4 linked regions of the Schizosaccharomyces pombe genome follow. Changing the gene in region 1 together with any one later gene gives a genetic interaction. Each region holds a gene or a part of one and is shown in the gene's direction. Other genes may lie near its edges. The genes, in order: pof9, SPOM_SPAPB1A10.08, arg11 and atg20.

Evidence for each region.
Region 2: mutations in pof9 (region 1) and SPOM_SPAPB1A10.08 together harm fitness less than expected from each alone (positive genetic interaction), as found in Schizosaccharomyces pombe (one large-scale study listed by BioGRID).
Region 3: mutations in pof9 (region 1) and arg11 together harm fitness more than expected from each alone (negative genetic interaction), as found in Schizosaccharomyces pombe (one large-scale study listed by BioGRID).
Region 4: mutations in pof9 (region 1) and atg20 together harm fitness more than expected from each alone (negative genetic interaction), as found in Schizosaccharomyces pombe (one large-scale study listed by BioGRID).

The regions. Positions count from the first base shown.
Region 1 is NC_003423.3:1,869,881-1,873,870, forward strand, and holds pof9 (F-box protein Pof9), read left to right. Parts: upstream 1-1,952; 5' UTR 1,953-1,966; coding exon 1,967-2,331; exon of another isoform or gene 2,332-2,401; coding exon 2,402-3,440; downstream 3,441-3,990. Other genes in the region: phosphoserine phosphatase Ser2, read left to right, coding at 454-1,251, 1,323-1,421.
Region 2 is NC_003424.3:1,873,613-1,878,364, forward strand, and holds SPOM_SPAPB1A10.08 (uncharacterized protein), read left to right. Parts: upstream 1-1,973; 5' UTR 1,974-2,646; coding exon 2,647-3,274; exon of another isoform or gene 3,275-3,346; coding exon 3,347-3,969; 3' UTR 3,970-4,252; downstream 4,253-4,752. Other genes in the region: SPOM_SPAPB1A10.07C (sphingolipid biosynthesis protein), read right to left, coding at 1-185; antiparallel microtubule cross-linking factor Ase1, read left to right, coding at 4,750-4,752. UniProt on the Schizosaccharomyces pombe protein: May have a role in meiosis and sporulation.
Region 3 is NC_003424.3:2,269,375-2,274,749, reverse strand, and holds arg11 (N-acetyl-gamma-glutamyl-phosphate reductase/acetylglutamate kinase), read left to right. Parts: upstream 1-2,025; 5' UTR 2,026-2,073; coding exon 2,074-4,731; 3' UTR 4,732-4,842; downstream 4,843-5,375. Other genes in the region: ornithine carbamoyltransferase Arg3, read right to left, coding at 1-738; DNA-directed RNA polymerase III complex subunit Rpc2, read left to right, coding at 5,228-5,375.
Region 4 is NC_003421.2:881,538-886,244, forward strand, and holds atg20 (sorting nexin Atg20), read left to right. Parts: upstream 1-1,834; 5' UTR 1,835-1,854; coding exon 1,855-1,998; intron 1,999-2,056; coding exon 2,057-2,165; intron 2,166-2,284; coding exon 2,285-3,636; 3' UTR 3,637-4,151; downstream 4,152-4,707. Other genes in the region: ubiquinone-binding protein Coq10, read left to right, coding at 1-123; TIM23 translocase complex subunit Tim23, read right to left, coding at 4,564-4,707. UniProt on the Schizosaccharomyces pombe protein: Required for cytoplasm to vacuole transport (Cvt), pexophagy and mitophagy. Also involved in endoplasmic reticulum-specific autophagic process and is essential for the survival of cells subjected to severe ER stress.

The DNA.
Region 1 (3,990 bases):
GAGAACAATTATTACATTGCCAAATATTTTTTTAGTGCTTTTTCACTTTACAAATATCTCACTCTCTACTTTATGGTAGGCTCTCATTTTTGGAATATTTGCCCTGATATATTGCAATATTTCCAAACATCTTCTTAGTTATGATTTCTTGCTTTATTGCTTTAATGTATAAAAAAAATATTTGCTTATTAACCTGTGTTTGAAAACGGAGTTTAGGCACCACTTTACCAACTTCACAATTTATACAGCATTTTGAAGATAATGATAAATTTGTAAACAATAACAAAAAATAAGCTTGTTTGAGATTTTCAAATAACTTAAATTGACCTAGTACTTGTTGTCGTTTAACGTTAAGCTTAATCAATAGCCGAGTAATTAGTAAATGGGACTTGCCGAAAACAACGCTTTTCAACTTAGAAAATTTAGCAAACCCACTCATACCTTTTAATAAGCATGGTCAACGCAGCCATAGTTGTTTCCTCAAATCGTCCAAATGTGCTTGAACAGATTTCCTCCTTGTTTAGAGATGGGAAGACTCGTTCTCTGGGGGAACAGTGGACTTTAGTATCAGGCCAACTTAAAGGAACGTTTGAAGATGCTAAAGACGCTTGTAACCGCATTTCTGCTACTGAGAATGTAGACTGTAATTGCTTGAGTGAAGCAACATTTTCCACTAAAAAGAAGCTTGTAGTATTTGACATGGACTCGACGTTGATTCAACAAGAGTGTATTGACGAGCTCGCGGCAGAAGCAGGCATCCAGAAAGAGGTTGCTACGATTACATCTCTTGCAATGAATGGGGAAATTGACTTTCAAGAATCACTTCGTCGTCGCGTTTCTCTACTACAAGGGTTGAGCGTCGATGTCATAAATAAAGTCATTGGCAAAATTACTTTCACTCCAGGAGCTAAACAGCTTTGTCATTGCCTTAAGCAAATGGGTGCGACTCTTGTTGTCGCTAGTGGTGGATTTGTTCCAATGGCTGAATATGTCAAGGGACAACTGGACTTGGACTATGCATATGCCAATGTACTTGAATTTTCCGATGATGGTAAATTCCTCACTGGAAAAGTTCAAGGTGCAATTGTAGATGGACAACGAAAAGCTTCCATTTTGCGTGAAAAGAGGGAAGAGTTGGGTTTAAATAAGCTCGAAACGATGGCTGTTGGGGACGGAGCTAACGATTTGGTCATGATGGCCGAATCCGGTTTAGGAATTGCGTTCAAAGCTAAACCCAAAGTTCAATTATTGGTATGTTCGAAATTTTTTTACAAATTTATGTTTTTAATGATCTTACTAACTCGATTTTTTTTTTTAATTAGGCTGATTCGAAAATCAATCTTCCATCTTTGCAAAACGCTCTTTACCTCTTGGGTATTGATGAGCAACAACAAAAAAAGCTATTGGAAAACAAAAATTAATTTAGAATTTCCAAGAATTTTTCAATCGCAAGGCGCTGTCAAGAACTCTGAGCTACTGTGGCTTGGTTTTTATAAAGCAATATTTTACTTGTGCGCGTGGTCTTTTTTTCTGTAGTAGGAGCCGTCTTTTATATACCCTACTTCTTTATTTTTGATACTCTTATTTTTCTTTTTCCTTAATTTACAATTTTGGTATGATCAATGCTTCATTGGAAAGGGTGTGCAATGAATGCTTAAAAAAAAAGGGGCAGTTCAGAAGCTTTCTTCTTTAAAACAGACAAGAATTACTCAATTGGTTTTTATAAAGCCGATCATTTACTCTTAAATCTGCTTCGTTATGCTGATAGACTTTGAAATTGATTCGTGCAATGACTACACCTTCGTTTCATAGACCTTTCTTTATTATCATTTATTAATTGTAAATAATACAATTGTATCTAGTTATTAAGAGTTGCAGAAAACATGTGCTTTTGACGTATTTCAACACCGTTTCCCTTGTATATATTCAGAGGTATTCATATACTACTACCCATGCGAGATTCATTATGGCTAAATCACCATTCCTGGAGCTTTCTTACGATATATTGCTAGAAATTAGTACATATCTTGATTATAAAGATATAGTTCATTTGTCAGAAACATGCAAGTCACTTTCGTATGTTTTTGACGACAAAACAATTTGGCATCGATTTTGTGCACGGGTCCAAGGTCTCACCAATGTAGTCCCAGTTGTTGATGATAATTACAAAAGACCCTATGCTGTATGGAAAGACCGAGGATACGCTTACTCATGGGGGCAACAGATAAGAAACTATTTGGGCCGCGTCGTCAATACAAATCAGTATCCTCGAGATCGTCCTGGTGCATTGACTGGGAAGGACGTTCGTTCTACTATTCAGGTTCAAGTTGGGTAAGCGCATAGATACAGGAATTTATTTGACTGCACTACAATGACTAACTATTCCCTATGCGGAATTTAGAGGTTATGGGATGTATTTATTAAATGAAAACGGAAATTTATATGTTACGGGGGTACCAAACAATGTTGGGCCCGAATTGATGAGAGATTTAGAGCCAATTGTGAAAATCCATGCTGGTCGAGAGTTTTGTCTTGCACTCGGTGAGACGGGACACTTGTATCAAGTATCTCTAAAAACACGAATTTGCTTGACAGATGAACAAAATATGCTATCAGCCTATCGCGGAAGAATTGCTAATTTTAAATCAGGTTGGGACTCGCATTCGGCGTATGTGCCGGGCATTGGCTTTCTTGTCTGGCACACTGGACGAGAAAGTGAAGCGCAACTTTTCCAGCCAGAGGCATCGATGAAGGAATTCGTGCTGAACGATTATGTTCACTGCGCAGGATTCCTAGTGTATACTGTCGCATCACCTCAGAAAAAAGGCGCCGTGTTTCGTTTAGACCTGGACCAAGCTACACAACACACGCTAGGAAGAGAATTGAAGAGGTTCGCTTCGCACGACCCCCATCAAGGTTGGCATTTAGCAGGCAGCTTTGAAACTTTCACATGTTTATCGGACGATGGCAATACTGTTTACATGGGTCATGCTAATACCAAGCAGGTCGATGATGACCCGGTTATCCACGACTTTCTCCAGAACCGAGGAATTAAGCAATTGGCGCATGGCGATCATCATCATCTTTACTTAACAAGCGATCATTCCATATGGTCGTGGGGTGTTGAATTACGTTATTGTGGGTGTTTAGGTTTGGGTTCTCTTCATTTGCAAGAACAGACATCTGATCCCAGCATTGTTTCTGATCCACGCACCGCACGCAACATCGTTTCCATTCCACATCAAATTCACTTTTCAGGAACTTGCTATTCAGTTGCAGCCGGCGGATGGCAAAGTGCTGCTCTCGCCATTTCGGAATCTGTTTTACCCGAAGTCAATGTGCCTCCAATTACAACTTTTTCTATCATCCGACCATCCAGAGTTCCAGCGTTGCGCTTTTTAGCTGCCCCTGCGACTCGGACTTTGGAAAGGGACGGCTAGGTGAAATAGTGATCAACTTTGCTTGGTAAGCTAATTTCCGCGTGCGCACTAGAGAAGGATTTTATTTTGTCCGCTAAGTAAGTGAAATAAATAAATATCTCGGCCACCTCGGACTTCCGAATTTATCTCTATTTTTACTAATTCCTCTAGGTAAGCCAATTATAAAAAAAAGCAGCACAAGGAAAACACAACGGTGATTAAATAAGTGAGAAAATTTTTTTTCCTTCTTCCTGTATCGCAATTACATAAAGTACACACATTGACCAATTTATATTCCTGACCCCTGTGAATTAAGTTACTGTGCTACTACGACGAGTTTTTACCAAACATTATTATTTTTTTTAATTGATTTGGACTGTAAGGAAGGTTACCGATTTTCATATTAAATCCTCGGTGGTCAAAATTTGTTGGGCTCTTGCTCTCTATTTGTCGTTTGCGTTGGTGGTTTGTAATATTCCTAACCACCCCATTTTTTTCTGGCGACCCTAACTTGGGGGTTTTGTTTACAGATCCAGGTGTCGAGAAAACCGGTATTTTCAGGCAGAAATCG
Region 2 (4,752 bases), on another chromosome or scaffold:
AGCATGCACCATGAAAGCAACGAATTTACAAAGTACAAAACGGCATAACTAATCACCGCTCCAACATTGCTTTGTATGGAATTAGTCAAACTAAGGACAGAAGTAACAAGAAAACTGCTAGCAATACCTACTACTCCCGAAAGAGAAGAGGCAAGAGCTAAAGGTATAGATAAAACCGCACCCATATCTCAATTGCGTTTAGGATATATCTTTATATATAAAGCGGAATACAGTTGATCAAAGAAAAATATTCAGGTAAAGAAATTTCGTCAACGACAGCAAATGCCTGAATAGGTTAAAAAGTAGCAATTAGCAGAATAGTAGCAAATTTGTAAAATTAACAAATAATAATTTGAAAGATAAAAATAATAGAGGAAGAAAGAATTGTAAACTCCTTAAATATCACTTTCTCATATACATGTACACATATCGTAGTTATACTATTTGTTCTGGGTGTAGAACCATAACACGCAGACGTACGACGCTACTTTGCTTACCAACGCTTAATATGGTAATACATTATAACTTAATTGTGTGAATTGCTATATTGCTTTAGAACTCCCTAAAATCTATTCAGTGTAGTGTTAAAGTACTGAAAAAATTTTTTACGTGCTAAATAAAAGCCAATTATATGGTATTAAGCATCTTGATGGATTGCAATAAATTTGAATACGCACCGTTTTATCTGATGTAAAAGCTGTTCTAATTTATTCTTTAATGAATTATATATTTGTATATGGACAGATAGTAAGACTCGCTCCATGGATTGCAAGGCACGTGAGTTCCGTGGATGTTGATAGTGCAAAATAATTAGAAGTTTTACATCGGGTAAAAATTTACTTGCAACCTTATTATCGTGCACTTATTTGGCAGATTGGACTTTACTATTGATTTGACAGACCCTTCTCTAACGTGTTATAGCCGGAAAGTTCGGCTTAGGAACACTTGCCGGTAAGTATACTATTCAACATAGCAAAGCCCTAAAGAAAATCTCACTAAAACCAAGTAAAATAAAACAAGTTAAAAAAAAAATAGCTAAAGACATCGTGACAAATTGAATAATATGTTTCATGAAATTTTTGTGTCAAATGATATTGATCAAAATGTGATACCGACTAAGTCAATCTTCATTTATGTGTATATGTGTGTGTAATTTTTTTAATTTTTTTTCCTACTGACCCAATGCGCTCTTTTTCCTATTTGATGGCCGAAAATTTAATTTCACAAATTTTGCTTCCATTTTCTTGTGACTTTACCATCAGAACTAGTGAGTAACGAAATATGCTAAGTTTTGGATAGGAGGAAATTTTACTAGTACGAAAAAATCTCGACTTTCCTCCATTAGCTGAACAAAGAAATATGCTTTTCCCAATCCGTATGCGGTTGATGTAACGGAATGTGTAAGGGAAATGACTATCTTTTAATTTAAATCTATTTTACGTTTATCACACTGACTACTCGGCTATGAAGGGGAGAGAATGTAATAGCGATAAAATTTTCAAATGTATTTCAATTACTTAGAAAAGATATTCAGTATCCTTTTTCTTTTTTGAAAGCATACAAATCATAAATAAAAACTCATATTGTTCATATACTGTTTGTCACATAACCCTTCGTATTACTAATACAAACAACGATAATTCAAGCCTTAGTAATTAACCTAGCGTTGCCAAATATCAACAATACAAAGTTCCGAATTGCCCTTGTAAATACGGATCTGCAAACTGGGAATTTGAGAGAAACAGCAAAGAGCATATACAAGTTTGCCATTGGGAATACAGGTGAGCTCCGACTCGTTCTTTAAAGAAAGCTATTCAGAAAGTGATTTTGAAATCCGAAATATCTTCTCATACGTCTCTGTATAGGTCTTCCTCAGTCACATTTGGATATCAAATCATTCATCGCATCTCATCATCATTATTCCTATAGATCCCATTTTTACTTATACCACACTTTGTCCTTTCTTTATCCTTAATACATTCATCCGTGGCTGCGCAAAACCAGTCACTGCCGCTGCTGTTAGACTTCGTAAAAACGTATAAGCAACGCTGGTGAAGGAGGAAAATACTTTGGTTATTTCTAGCAAAGTCAACAATACCCAAGCCCCGCGGAATTTTATCCGGACTTCGGCATTCATCCTCTCGCCTATAGAGGAGTAATATTACGGTAAACAAGCAACCACTTGTCTCTTCCGGTCTTTAAAATCAGCAATTCTCCTTGCTTTCCCTATTTACCATCCCTACTTCACAATTCCTTGATTGCTGTTTTTTTGTAAAAATTGGGTTTATTTTTCAACAGTAATCATTCCTTTGCTTGTAAAAGCCAGGAATTTTGGCTAGTGCTTTTAGCCTGCTGAAGTTTCATCACCCGTGAACGTGTGTAATTTAATTGCCTTCATTCGATAATCAGTTTTCACATTCTTTTGCTGTAAAACGAGAACTAGAAGCAATTGAGCCTTTTATTCGTCTTTTGAAGGCTTTAACGTTTGTTTGTTGTATTTTTAGAAAGCTCGAAGGTCGTATAGCTTTCCAACATTGTAGCTTCTAATTCACTTTATGAACTGCTTTGCAATTAGAAACCGGTAGGATTTGATCAATTGGCTTTATATATAGGCGCTATATTTTCTTTCTTTTTACATTTCTTTCTATGATGACTCGGATGGAATTAAGACCATTGGAAATTGGCTTCTCTAAAGCACTCACAGAAGTAGCTCCGGTAACTTGTCAATGCGAATGTTGGGATCATAATCTTTGCAGCTCTCAAGCTAGTGAGATGGATTTAATTTATCAGTCTCAGGATACCCATTCTTGTGCATCAAAGCAAGACGCCGTTTTTCAGTTGCTGAGTGAAACCAAGATCCCTGTTCCCAATCGTTATAGAAAAATTTCACATCGCTTGAGTACTCTATCTAATAAAAAAACTCTTAAATCACAATTAGATCGTTTTTTGTCTTCGTCCAAAAAATTACACAATGATGATGTTAATAGAGGTGATTACTGCTTTCTTCTTTCTACACCTGTCGAGTGTTCTGCTTCTACCAACTCTCATTCTTACGACTGTTTGTGGAATTTTTCGTGTAATTCATTCCCTGAATACTCCTCCTACTCTGCTTCGGAAACGTCTTCAGTCGCTTCTTACTCTTACTATTCGGGGCCAAATCCTGCAACTCCCAGCTCTTCCTCTTGTAACCTCGTAAACGCAAATAGCCTTGATATTTACTTGAATATTAACAACTTAAAAAAATCCAAATCTGTTCCTCGTTTAAGAGGTCAATGTATGTTCTTTTAAGATTTTTCAACCTTTTCTCTTATCTTTTATTTATTCATCGTTGCTAACAATATCATAGTTATGGAGCCCGTAGAGCATAACCATCCACTTTCTAAAAGTCTTGAGGAGCAATCCTCTTTTTTGGAACAATCAAAGGATGCTTCCTCTAACTTGACCGCCTGCAATAGGAGTGGCTCTAGTTTATCATCTAATTTCTACTCATCTAGGTTGTCCAAAAAAACATCTTTAGCATCTTTAAATAAGTCTCGAGCTTCTTTACAGCATAAAATAATGTCGCTATCTCGTAATATCATCAGACGTGTATTTCACAAGCCAGAAGTGCATTTGGATCCAAGTGCCTCCATTTTAAATCTCTCATCTTCGCATGGCGAAAGCAACCTGACAAATGGTTTGCTTTGTCAAAATTTCAAGCTTTTTCAGGATGATTGGTTGATGGAGGATTGTGCGCCAGATGCCAATTTCACTTTGTACACCCCGCTTCAACCCTGGGAAAAGCGAAGTGTGAAACCTGAAATCAGACGTCCTCGATTAAATCCTAATTTTTTCCGAGTATTTGTTTTAGAAGCTCAAATGCGACGAGCTGGAAAGCTATCAGCAAACACTGCTGGCCGAGCCCAGTTAATTTACCTCCCAAAGCCTGCCGTTACCTTCTCCACTAGCCCTTTGCATGTTGAATTGTAAAAATTTAACGCATGACTTATATACATTTGCATTCTTCCAAGCTGGTTATATTTATTTTCATTTTTTTCTCACCCAATACTTTTTTATCCCTACTGTCTTTATGGACAATCGACTCACAATTGTTTCTTTTTGTTGTATATGATTTTTTTTTTAAAGGAAATGGGTTTCGCGATACTGGGTTGAATCCCAATTGCGGTTAATATTACATAAAATAATTCTCCCATAGTCCTAGATCCTGTCTTTGAATATGAGCAAATAAAAGAATTGAACAAATCATGAATGCTTTTCTCTCTTAGATGATATTTTGTATGCATAAGTCTAATTATATTGATTACGATAAGACTTAAAAAGTAAGCCTTTGTATCCTTTTAAGCAGTATTTGAATTTTCTTGTATCATATTTTAGGTAGAGCAAAAGATACCAGTTTGTAGAACTTTATGTGCTTCCTTACATTGGTATATTTCAGGCACATAAATATTCTTCAACTTACAATTCTAAGTATTTTGTTTATACTAAAAGGAGCTGAATAACGTTTATACAGTGCTGACATTGAAATCTATTTGCTTTCTTTGGAATATAAGCGCATGCTGAGTTACTTTCGCAGGCCAAGCCATATCCAACCACCATTTTTGTGCCAAGCTTTTATGCAAGGTTAATTCCTTGTACTGCTTGTTATGTTATAATATATCAACATCTTAACAGTTTTCATATCTTCCTTTATATTCTATTAATTGAATTTCAAACATCGTTTTATTGAGCTCATTTACATCAACCGGTTCAATG
Region 3 (5,375 bases), on another chromosome or scaffold:
CTCAGCTTCTTGACCCATAGAAATCCAAGTGTCGGTAACGACGATATCAGCATTTTTAACAGCAACCTTGGGGTCGTTAACAATTTCAAAAGTAGAACCGTTTTCGTTCGCAGCTTCGTTAACGATTGATAAAATATCGTCGCGAACGTTGACGTCCTTGGGCTTAGCAACGCTAGTATGAATACCAACCTTGGCATTTGCAATCATCAAATCATGTAAAACGTTATTGGCATCACCTACCCATGCAACTTTTAAACCGTCAAAGCTTTTGAAAGTTTCCTTAATAGTGAGTAAATCTGCTAACGCCTGGAGAGGATGAAACGTGTCACAAAGACCATTAATAACAGGACAAGAGGCATGTTTAGCGAGCGTAGCAACATCTGAATATTTGTTTACGCGAGCAACAATACCAGAAACCATACTTGATATAACTTTTGAAGTATCGTATAAAGACTCATTCACTCCTAATTGGATATCATCTTTACCTAAAAACATGGCATTGCCGCCAAGGCAACTGACAGCACTTTCGACTGATACACGAGTACGAGTGCTACGCTTACTGAAGATCATGGCGACATTCTGAGACGACAAACCACTCATTTGAACAGAACGGCGATTCTGAAAATTCTGCTTATAAGCTTGTTTAATTTCAGAAGACCGATCGATCAACTTTACAATCTCTCCGCGACTAAGATCACGAATGGATAGTAAATGACGAGGAAATTTTTTGAAAGACATTTTCAATTGCAAACTGAATAATTCTTCTCGACTAAATATATCAAAAATACGGTTTTTGTAGTCGACTACAAGGAACCCACAAGTTACTGGTAATTTCTTAGATATTCAGGGTGAGATTGCATATAGCCGATATCTAGTTCTCTCTCAGACTGCGAGATTGGCGCCGTAATATATCGTATGCGGATTTTCGACGAGATGGAAAATTTTTACATTATCGTACACTAGAGTTCAGTTGCAAACAAGCTAGTACGTTGATGAAATATGATAAAACAAGTCAAAAATTAAAAACTACTCATAAACATTCTATTTCCTTTCTTTTTCTTATGTTATTCATGGTAATATTGATACAGAACGTCAGAATACTTATCAGCAATAGCTTTTAAATACCAAAATCGTTAATTGATTAGCAGTAAAAGAATATTCATGGGTTTAGCATTTAATTATAGAACTAATGAAAAGGGATGAATTTTTTTCGACCTTGTAATATTTTTTTTATTTACCACCCATTCTTTAAAGAACCAATACATTGTAAATAAAATGTATCTAAAAAACGTGTAGTTATTTTTTTTGTTTATTCAATTATCTCTTGACACTATATTCAAGCGAGCTGAAATAAAACCAATTGTGTTACTATATTGATAACTCAGCATGCTTGTGAAATCAACAACTACCATGAAATGAACAATGAGTTCACAGATTCGCTATATTACAAGCTTACACTTACAGTATTGCATAAAGCGAAACAAGTTTTAACGAAAGAGAAGGGCTTCTTGCCAAATTTTTTTTTTTTTTTTTTTTTTTTTTTTTTTTAACGAGATTATCTTAGATAATAAATTTTATGATAAGTGCTTTTGTCTCATCAGGGTCATTGGGACTATTCAACGCGAAATCAAATAGAAAACAAAATATTGTTTCAAAAGAATGCTTTCATGTATAAATCAAGATATTGAACTGGCTTGCATAGAAATAATGAATATTGTACTGTGTCAGTTAGGACTAGTATTAAATAATGTATATACAAATAGATTCATTGTCGGCAAATGAGTTGCTTTTACAGTGTCATTTATATAGCTTTAATTCATTAAATGTCCATGTCTCACGTTTGCAGCACTTTCATGTAAACTGTTGGTTTCCGATGTAATTTTCAGCCAACAAGTAACATTATCGATCTCATCTTTTTGAGTGATTATCTCCAGAGCAAATCCCTAGATACAGCAATCAAATTTTAACGAATTATAGCTACGTTTACGAAGCAAATGATTTTCCAATTTTGAAACCAACCAAACTGCCTTCTACCAACTACAGTAAATCATAGAATATCACTAGAATTTGGCAATGCTTATTGAATTGCAACAAATTGTCAAGTCCGGTCTTGTACGGAATGGAGCGAAACACTGTACGAAAAGGAGCTTACTATGTTCCAATGCATCAGTCATTGCAAGCAAACGTTTTCAAGGCAGTTTTGCCCCGGGTCAACAACAACCGTTAAACCCACTCGCGAAACCAATTGAACAAGATCGTGATGCCATCATTAGAATTCTTTCCTCCATCGGAAGCCGTCGTGAAGTTGAGCAATACCTACGATACTTTACTTCCTTCGAAGCTCAACGTTTCGCTATTATCAAGGTTGGTGGTGCCATTATCACCGACGAATTAGACACATTGGCACAAAGTCTTGCCTTTTTGAATCATGTGGGTCTTTATCCCATCGTTGTGCATGGCGCTGGTCCCCAATTAAACAAAATTCTTGCCAGCAGAAATGTTGAACCCGAGTATAGCGATGGTATTCGAATCACCGATGCCGAGACTCTTTCTGTAGCTCGTAAAGTTTTCTTAGAGGAAAATGCGAAACTTGTAGATGCTTTGGAAAAGTTGGGAACTCGTGCTCGTCCCATTACAGGTGGTGTATTTCAGGCAGAGTATCTCGACAAAGAAAAATACAAGTATGTTGGCAAGATTGTCAAGGTAAACAAAGCTCCTATTGAACACAGTATTCGTGCTGGAACCCTCCCTATTCTTACGTCTATGGCCGAAACTGCTTCTGGTCAATTGTTGAATGTCAACGCCGACATTACTGCTGGTGAGCTTGCTCGCGTATTGAAGCCTCTAAAGGTGGTCTATCTCAATGAAAAAGGTGGACTTATCAACGGTGAAACAAAGAAAAAAATTAGCAGCATCTATTTGGATAGGGAGTACGATGGCCTCATGAAGCAACCATGGGTCAAGTATGGTACGAAGCTCAAAATCAAAGAAATCAAAGAGTTACTTGATACTCTTCCCCGTACATCTTCCGTAGCCATTATTAGTACGAAGGATTTGCAAAAAGAGCTTTTTACGGAATCTGGCGCTGGTACTTTGATTAGTCGCGGTTTTGTCATCAACAAACATGACTCGTTGGATAGCATTCCAGACGCTGCTCTAGAAAATTTGATCATTCAAAAAAATTCTTTAGCCGCACCTAGTGAAAGCTTGAAACAGTTCAAGGATACTCTGAAAGACAGAAAACTTCGTATTTATAGTGACTCTTTCAATGAATCTGTTGCTATTGTCGACACCACCGACTCATCCTTGCCAGTACTCTTAGCTTTTGGTGCCGCCGACAATAATTGGTTAAACAATGTTGTTGATAGCATATTAACAACATTAAAAGCAGACTTCCCTTCTTTGCTATGGCGTCTTCAACCTTCAGCCAAGAATCTGGAATGGTTCTTCTCTAAAAGCGAAGGTACTTTGTTTGCTAATAATTTTTACTACTTTTGGTACGGTGTAAAAGATTTGAATAAAATCTCCAAGTTCATTCAGTCTGACAAGCCATTTGCCGATGCTATCATTCAGACCCAATCCACTAAACCCCCTACTGCTTCATCTACCACCAACAACCCTTCCTCTTCACAGATCAATCAAAAACGAAGTTACTCAACTAGTTCTTTATTTTCAAAAAACAAAAAAATGAATCGTTCTTTGTTTTTAAAGGGTGGAAAACGATTTTTTTCTGCTGAGGCTCAGAAGACCCAAAAACCTTTGAAGGCGGTCTCATCGAAGCCAGCAAAAGTCGTTCTCCTTGGAGCCCGTGGTTATACCGGAAAGAACTTGATTGGATTGATTAACACTCATCCTTATCTCGAATTATCTCATGTTTCTTCTCGTGAGTTGGAAGGCACCAAACTTCCTGGCTACACTAAGAAAGAAATTCAGTATGTCAACTTGTCCACAGATGATGTTAAAAAATTAGAGGAAGAGGGAGCGGTTGATGCTTGGGTCATGGCCCTACCCAACGGTGTATGCAAACCTTATGTCGATGCTTTAACGTCTGCAAATGGTAAAAGTGTCATTGTTGATTTAAGTGCGGACTACCGTTTTGAGCCCTCGTGGCAGTACGGTCTTCCTGAACTAAATGACCGTGAAGCTTTGCGTAACTCGAAACGTATTTCCAATCCTGGTTGTTACGCTACTGGATCGCAAGTCGGTTTAACTCCCATACTCTCTTTGATTGACGGCCAGCCCTCTATTTTTGGTGTATCTGGTTATTCTGGGGCTGGCACTAAGCCCTCTCCGAAGAATGACTTGAATGTATTGACAAACAATTTGATACCTTACTCATTAACTGATCACATCCATGAACGTGAAATTTCTTATCGTTTAAAGCAACCTGTCGCCTTTATTCCTCACGTTGCTCAATGGTTCCAAGGAATTACTTTAACTATTAATGTTCCGTTAAAGAAAAGTATAACTTCCCGTGAGCTTCGTAACTTATACCAAGACCGTTATAATGGTGAGCCTTTAATTCATGTTCAAGGAGATGTACCTTTGGTCAAGGACAACGCACACAAGCATCATGTTTCAGTTGGTGGTTTTGGTGTGCACTCTTCTGGAAAGCGTGCAGTCATTGTAGTTACTATCGACAATTTACTTAAAGGTGCTGCTACTCAAGCTCTCCAGAATCTCAATCTGTCCTGTGGTTACGATGAATATGCCGGTATCCATTTGGATTGATTATATTTTTTGTAGCCCATTCTTTTGTTATTTTTATTCTTTCTGTGTACCATTTGGATATTTTTTTGTTACAAATATTTTGAACTAAATGCATTAATCCTTGCTATTAAATAGCCAGCAGTAAGTCGCGTACGAGTACCATCTTAAGTTTCCACACATTTTAATTTAGTTCTTGTTCAGTTATACAAAATTCCTCTGTCTGTGCGTCGCAGACTCTTCAAAACTTATATAAACAGATTTGAAGTTGCTTTCTATGGTATAGATTTTCATCAACGAAATAATTTTTGTACGTAGAATAAAGTGGTAAATAGTTAAGCTTCAATAATCTTAATTGCGTATAAGTTTTATTTCTTTATTTAAAATTATATATGTTACTTAAAAAATAAGCCCAAAGTAATAAGAAATCTCTATCCTTGCATTACTAACGCTTCCTCCATAAGTATATTTTTGGGGAGGAATTTTGCTACCGTCCGCCATTATCAACTAAGTGAGTTCGATGGGGGTAAATACTGCCGGAGACCCTCAAAAAAGCCAACCCAAAATAAATAAAGGTGGAATTGGGAAGGATGAGAGTTTTGGAGCCCTCTTTAAACCTGTTTATAAGGGCAAAAAGCTTGCAGACCCTGTTCCCACCATTGAAGACA
Region 4 (4,707 bases), on another chromosome or scaffold:
GCAAGCAAACTCCATGGCATGATGAGCAAGTTTGTTGGATCTTCTGTAGCTTCTGAAATCATTCAAGGATTCGTCCAACAGGCTAAAATAAAGCATAAGCTAGAATCAGAAAATGAGAAATAATTACAATGATCCTGCATACAAAGGGGCTATGCCGCTATTCTTTCCATCTCAGCGTTTTTCCATCGTCTCTCTTTCAACCAAAGAAGGATATATTTTTATAAAAGGTTTCTTTTAGGAAATCATGGCTTCAGTAAGCTAAATTTTGGATCCTTCTCTTCACCTTATGTATTTATTTTATTTCATTTTTTTGGATACTCGCCAATATCATGGTATAGTTTGCTTTACTGCAATTTTTTTGATGCACAACAAAAAACTTGGTAAATTATTTCTCTACTATTAAATCAAGAGCTTAGGAGGAATTCTCATTTCTTAAAGAAACTTTACTTTGACGAAACTGTATTTTTTTTTTTGTTTTAACAATATGTCTTGAATATGCCTTCCTTTTCTTGAGTCACTGATAACCAAATATATATAATTATAGGGGTGTCTCTCTTTCTATTTAGTGCTGAAATATTGCGGATGAGCTTTGCCTCTAAAGTTGATAACCAGAGATCAGGAGTCCTTGAAGGTCAACTGTTTACAAAATTATCCTTCCTTGCTTTTGAATAGAAGGTGAAATTGGTTATGGAATGCTTCATGAAGATTTGCATTCAAAATGCATCCAGAACAATCACAAGTGTTATTTAAAAGTAAAGAATCCCTGAAGGAAAGAAAAAGTGATCTATGATGATCGTTGTTAAAAAGTCTATCAAATTTGGTCTACTGAGATATATCTAGGGAAAGCAAAATCATTTAAGTAAGACAATTCATGAAATACCCGGAGCACCTTTATAGTCGACTTTTCTTTCGATGATAAACATGACATGATTTCCATTATAGCTACAGAAACGAATTTTATGAAAAACAATCTTGTGTTTACCAACATTTTAATATCGTGCTCTATTAAACTGTGCAATATGCAAATACGGTGTTTGCCGATTTGCATTAACGGGAAGTATTTCTCCAGTAAATAAATGAAGCAAAGTGTTTTTATGTAAAATCCTTTTATCGCTTTTAACTTATAAGGATTTACTTAGTATATAAAGTTGCTGAATGGAGCCTTAAAAGTTCTAGCTGTTTTTTCGTGAAATAAACTATAGCATCACCATTCCATAGGTCCATTAGAAGTTGTGGAAATTATCCATGAGCATTTTTATATAGTGAAATTAGAATAATTTTTATCATTGAAAATAAATTATTAATTTAGTTCATTTCGAGGATGAAAACAAGTTTTATTATAATATACCTCTTATTTATACCGCATTGTTTACATCGCACGATATAACCAAACGAATCCAGTTAACGATAGCTACAACAGCCATCGGTATTAAACTATAGTGATTTGATAAGATGTTTCGAAATATATACTGGATAATATAATCACTGTCCGCTATCATAACCTTAAAAAGAAATCTCCTCTACAACTGCATTACTTGTTTACTGTGATAGTACTAAGAAATTCTCCACGTAAACCAAAATCTATTTTTTTTTCGAAATCTCGTATTTTATATACATAGGTTTCCCCTGTCATTTTAAAGTTCTGATTGTTTCTTTGACCTTATGGAAACCCATTTTACAATGCATTCAGTATAACGCTATCTAATCCATTCTCATATACAGTATAACGTAGTTATAAGTATATTGATTTGCGATCTCTATCATATTACAACGAAATACAATCCAGTCTGCAAAGCCATGACTTATATGACGAACTAGCTACATTTCTTTCTCCATTAAATCGATTAAAGAAGTATGGCACAAGACGATTCTTACGAAGAGAAACCTGAAGTTATATCCAGCGACTCGGGAGGAAGTGGTTATTCAACTGAAATCCAGATCGTCGGTACAGTAACTTCCTCGGACGGTTCGTATGTTGAGTATGAAATTGTACACCAGGTATGTGGCTTGAGATCCTTGGTATCTATGAGTTTAGCTGCTAATTTTTATACTGTAGAAGCGTTCCGTTTGGCGGAGATATTCGGATTTTGAGTCCTTGGTTAAGTTGATGCGTCGGCAGTATCCCGCTGCAATTGTTCCTCCTATACCGGGAAAACAATCACTTTGTAAGTTTTCCAATATATTTAGATATAATATCTTTCATCGCGTTTTTTCATTTTCTTTTCAAACGTTTATTAACATGGGCTGTGTGCAATTCATTGTACACACATGCTCCGCTGTTTAGTAAGTTATGCCAAACATCCACGAAAAGCTAAAAGTGATGCTGAATTCTTAAATTTTCGCTCCAGGATGCTAGAATTGTTTCTTCGTCAGTGTCTTTTGCATCCATGCATTCGTTCCAATCCTATTTTCGATAAGTTTATTCATAGCACTGTTTCTTGGCACGTGACTTTATCATCTTTAGATTTACCAAAGGATTCAAATACTGATCCACTCCGCCTTCCTCCTATTGCTACTGAGCATGACCCATTCGCTCATTTGCGCTCTTCCATGCCACTTGTAATGGCCAACTCATTAAGTCCCCCTTCGTCTCGCGCATTAAAGCCAATCCATTCCTTATCTAATCCTTCAACTGCTTCGAGTTTAGAACCTTCTTCTCCTTTGGGCTCTGAGGATGAATGTCATCCCCCAACAAGCGATATGCAACCTACGCATGAATTGAATGAAAGTCCTTCTACCCCAACGGCACCAGACTTTCCACATTACAATAGCTCACCTTCGGAGTTATCTCCCACACAGCGTCGTTCCAGCATTTCTAATGGTAAAGACGCACCCTCTCCAGTACTCAAAGATTTGACTTCCTATACTCAAGAAGTGATTGTTTGTCGGAAATTCCTTCATCATAGTCTGAGTCCTTCCATACATTCAACTTTATCTAGTATTTCTAAAATGGAGTCTTGCCTTTCAAAGTTAGGATCGGCATTTCACTCTTTGACTGCTCTCAATGAAATACAATTAGCAAATCATTTGCAAGTGATTGCTAATGCCTTTGAATTCAGCGGAATGTACGCCAAGGAATTCGAACAAGAATTTAATTCCTCCGTCTATGAAAAAATGGTTCAGTCTATGCAGCTGGCGAAGTGTGCCGCAGATGCTCTTAAGTATAAGCAATTGAAGATACAACAGCGAGATTTTCTTCAAGACCAGCTCATCCACTCTAACACAATGTCTGCTACCGACTCTATGGTAGCTGCTTCACCCACGATACACCCGGCGACCAGATTGAATACTATTCAACGAGCAGTTGTCTCCCAAGCCAAAAAGGGTTACACAATTTTTGGTCGCTTACAAAACGTTTTACATGACTTTGTAGAAGGTGAAACCTCCATTAGCAAAGAAAGTCTCCAGCAGCATAAGAATACCATAGAGAATCAACTAGCGGCTGCAAATTGGGATTGTCAAAAAATTGACGAATTCATGGATGCAGAGCTTAAATTCTACAAAGAATGTCAGACGTCGCAGTGGGAAGAAATAATTAAATCTGTTCATGAATGTATCTACAAATGGGCACAAACAAATTTACAACGATGGTTGCGAACTCGTGAAGAACTCGAAAATTTATCGAAGGACATATAAGTACGTTGGGTAGGTTTGCTTATAATTGCATTCCGAGTCTTACATACTTTGTATTTTATTTTAATTTCTGCATACATCCTTTTTTATGTTTCTTTTTTACGATTTTGTTAATGACTAATAATACCACATGACAAGCCTTAACTATGAAAGTCATATTTCCCTTGGAAGATCTATCGCTTGGATAAATTTTTAAGGTCGAGTACATTTTATTAATGAAAAATTTATTTAATGCTATTATAGATTTAGAAATATTAATAATACTAAAGCATACAATGAAAGCTGTTCTTCTTTGTGAATATTCATTGTTCCTCCTCTTACCTTTTTATCAATATGTACCGACAAATCGTTTAAATCCTTTCATTTTTCTCTCTACCCTTTTTCTCTTTTTTTGTTAGTTAAAGTGTGCTCGAATAGAGCCATTTTACGAATTACTTGAATAAACAATTACTTAACAAGAACTTTAACCTTCTTTCCATATTGATCACGTACAAAAATACAATGTAATAAAAAGCTGTGGGATAAAAATGATACAAAAAAGTGATATTTATGTCAAAATATGAATGTACTGTTCAAATAAAAGGATTCCAACAAAACAAAATGTAAGAACCCGTATGTTTGTTCAGTAGTTTTATTCCTTCCCTTTGCGAAAAGGAGGTAGGATCAAGGATTCAGAGATATTACAAATGCGAGGAAAAAGAAACGCAGTCAATTCTTTTTGACAGAAGGGTGTTGATAGAATTGAATTTTTAGGAAAATCAAACGACATAAATGAGATGAATAAAACCAAAAGACATAAATCCATTGTCGGATTTACAAATTAGGGAAAAAAGGGTCCGCACAAGAGTGAGAGAAAATGAGTGTCATAAAAGGAACACCTAACTCACATTATCGTACAAATTTTATAACCAAAAGTTACAAAAGAATTTTTTAATTAAGTCGCTTAGTGAAAGAACGCTTTGCAAGGGTCCAAATGCCAGCTGCAGTGGCTACAAGCGAACTACTAATAGCCATAGCACGAAGTCCACGAGTAGATTTGTAAAGAGCACCTGTCAATGCACCAGCTGCAACACT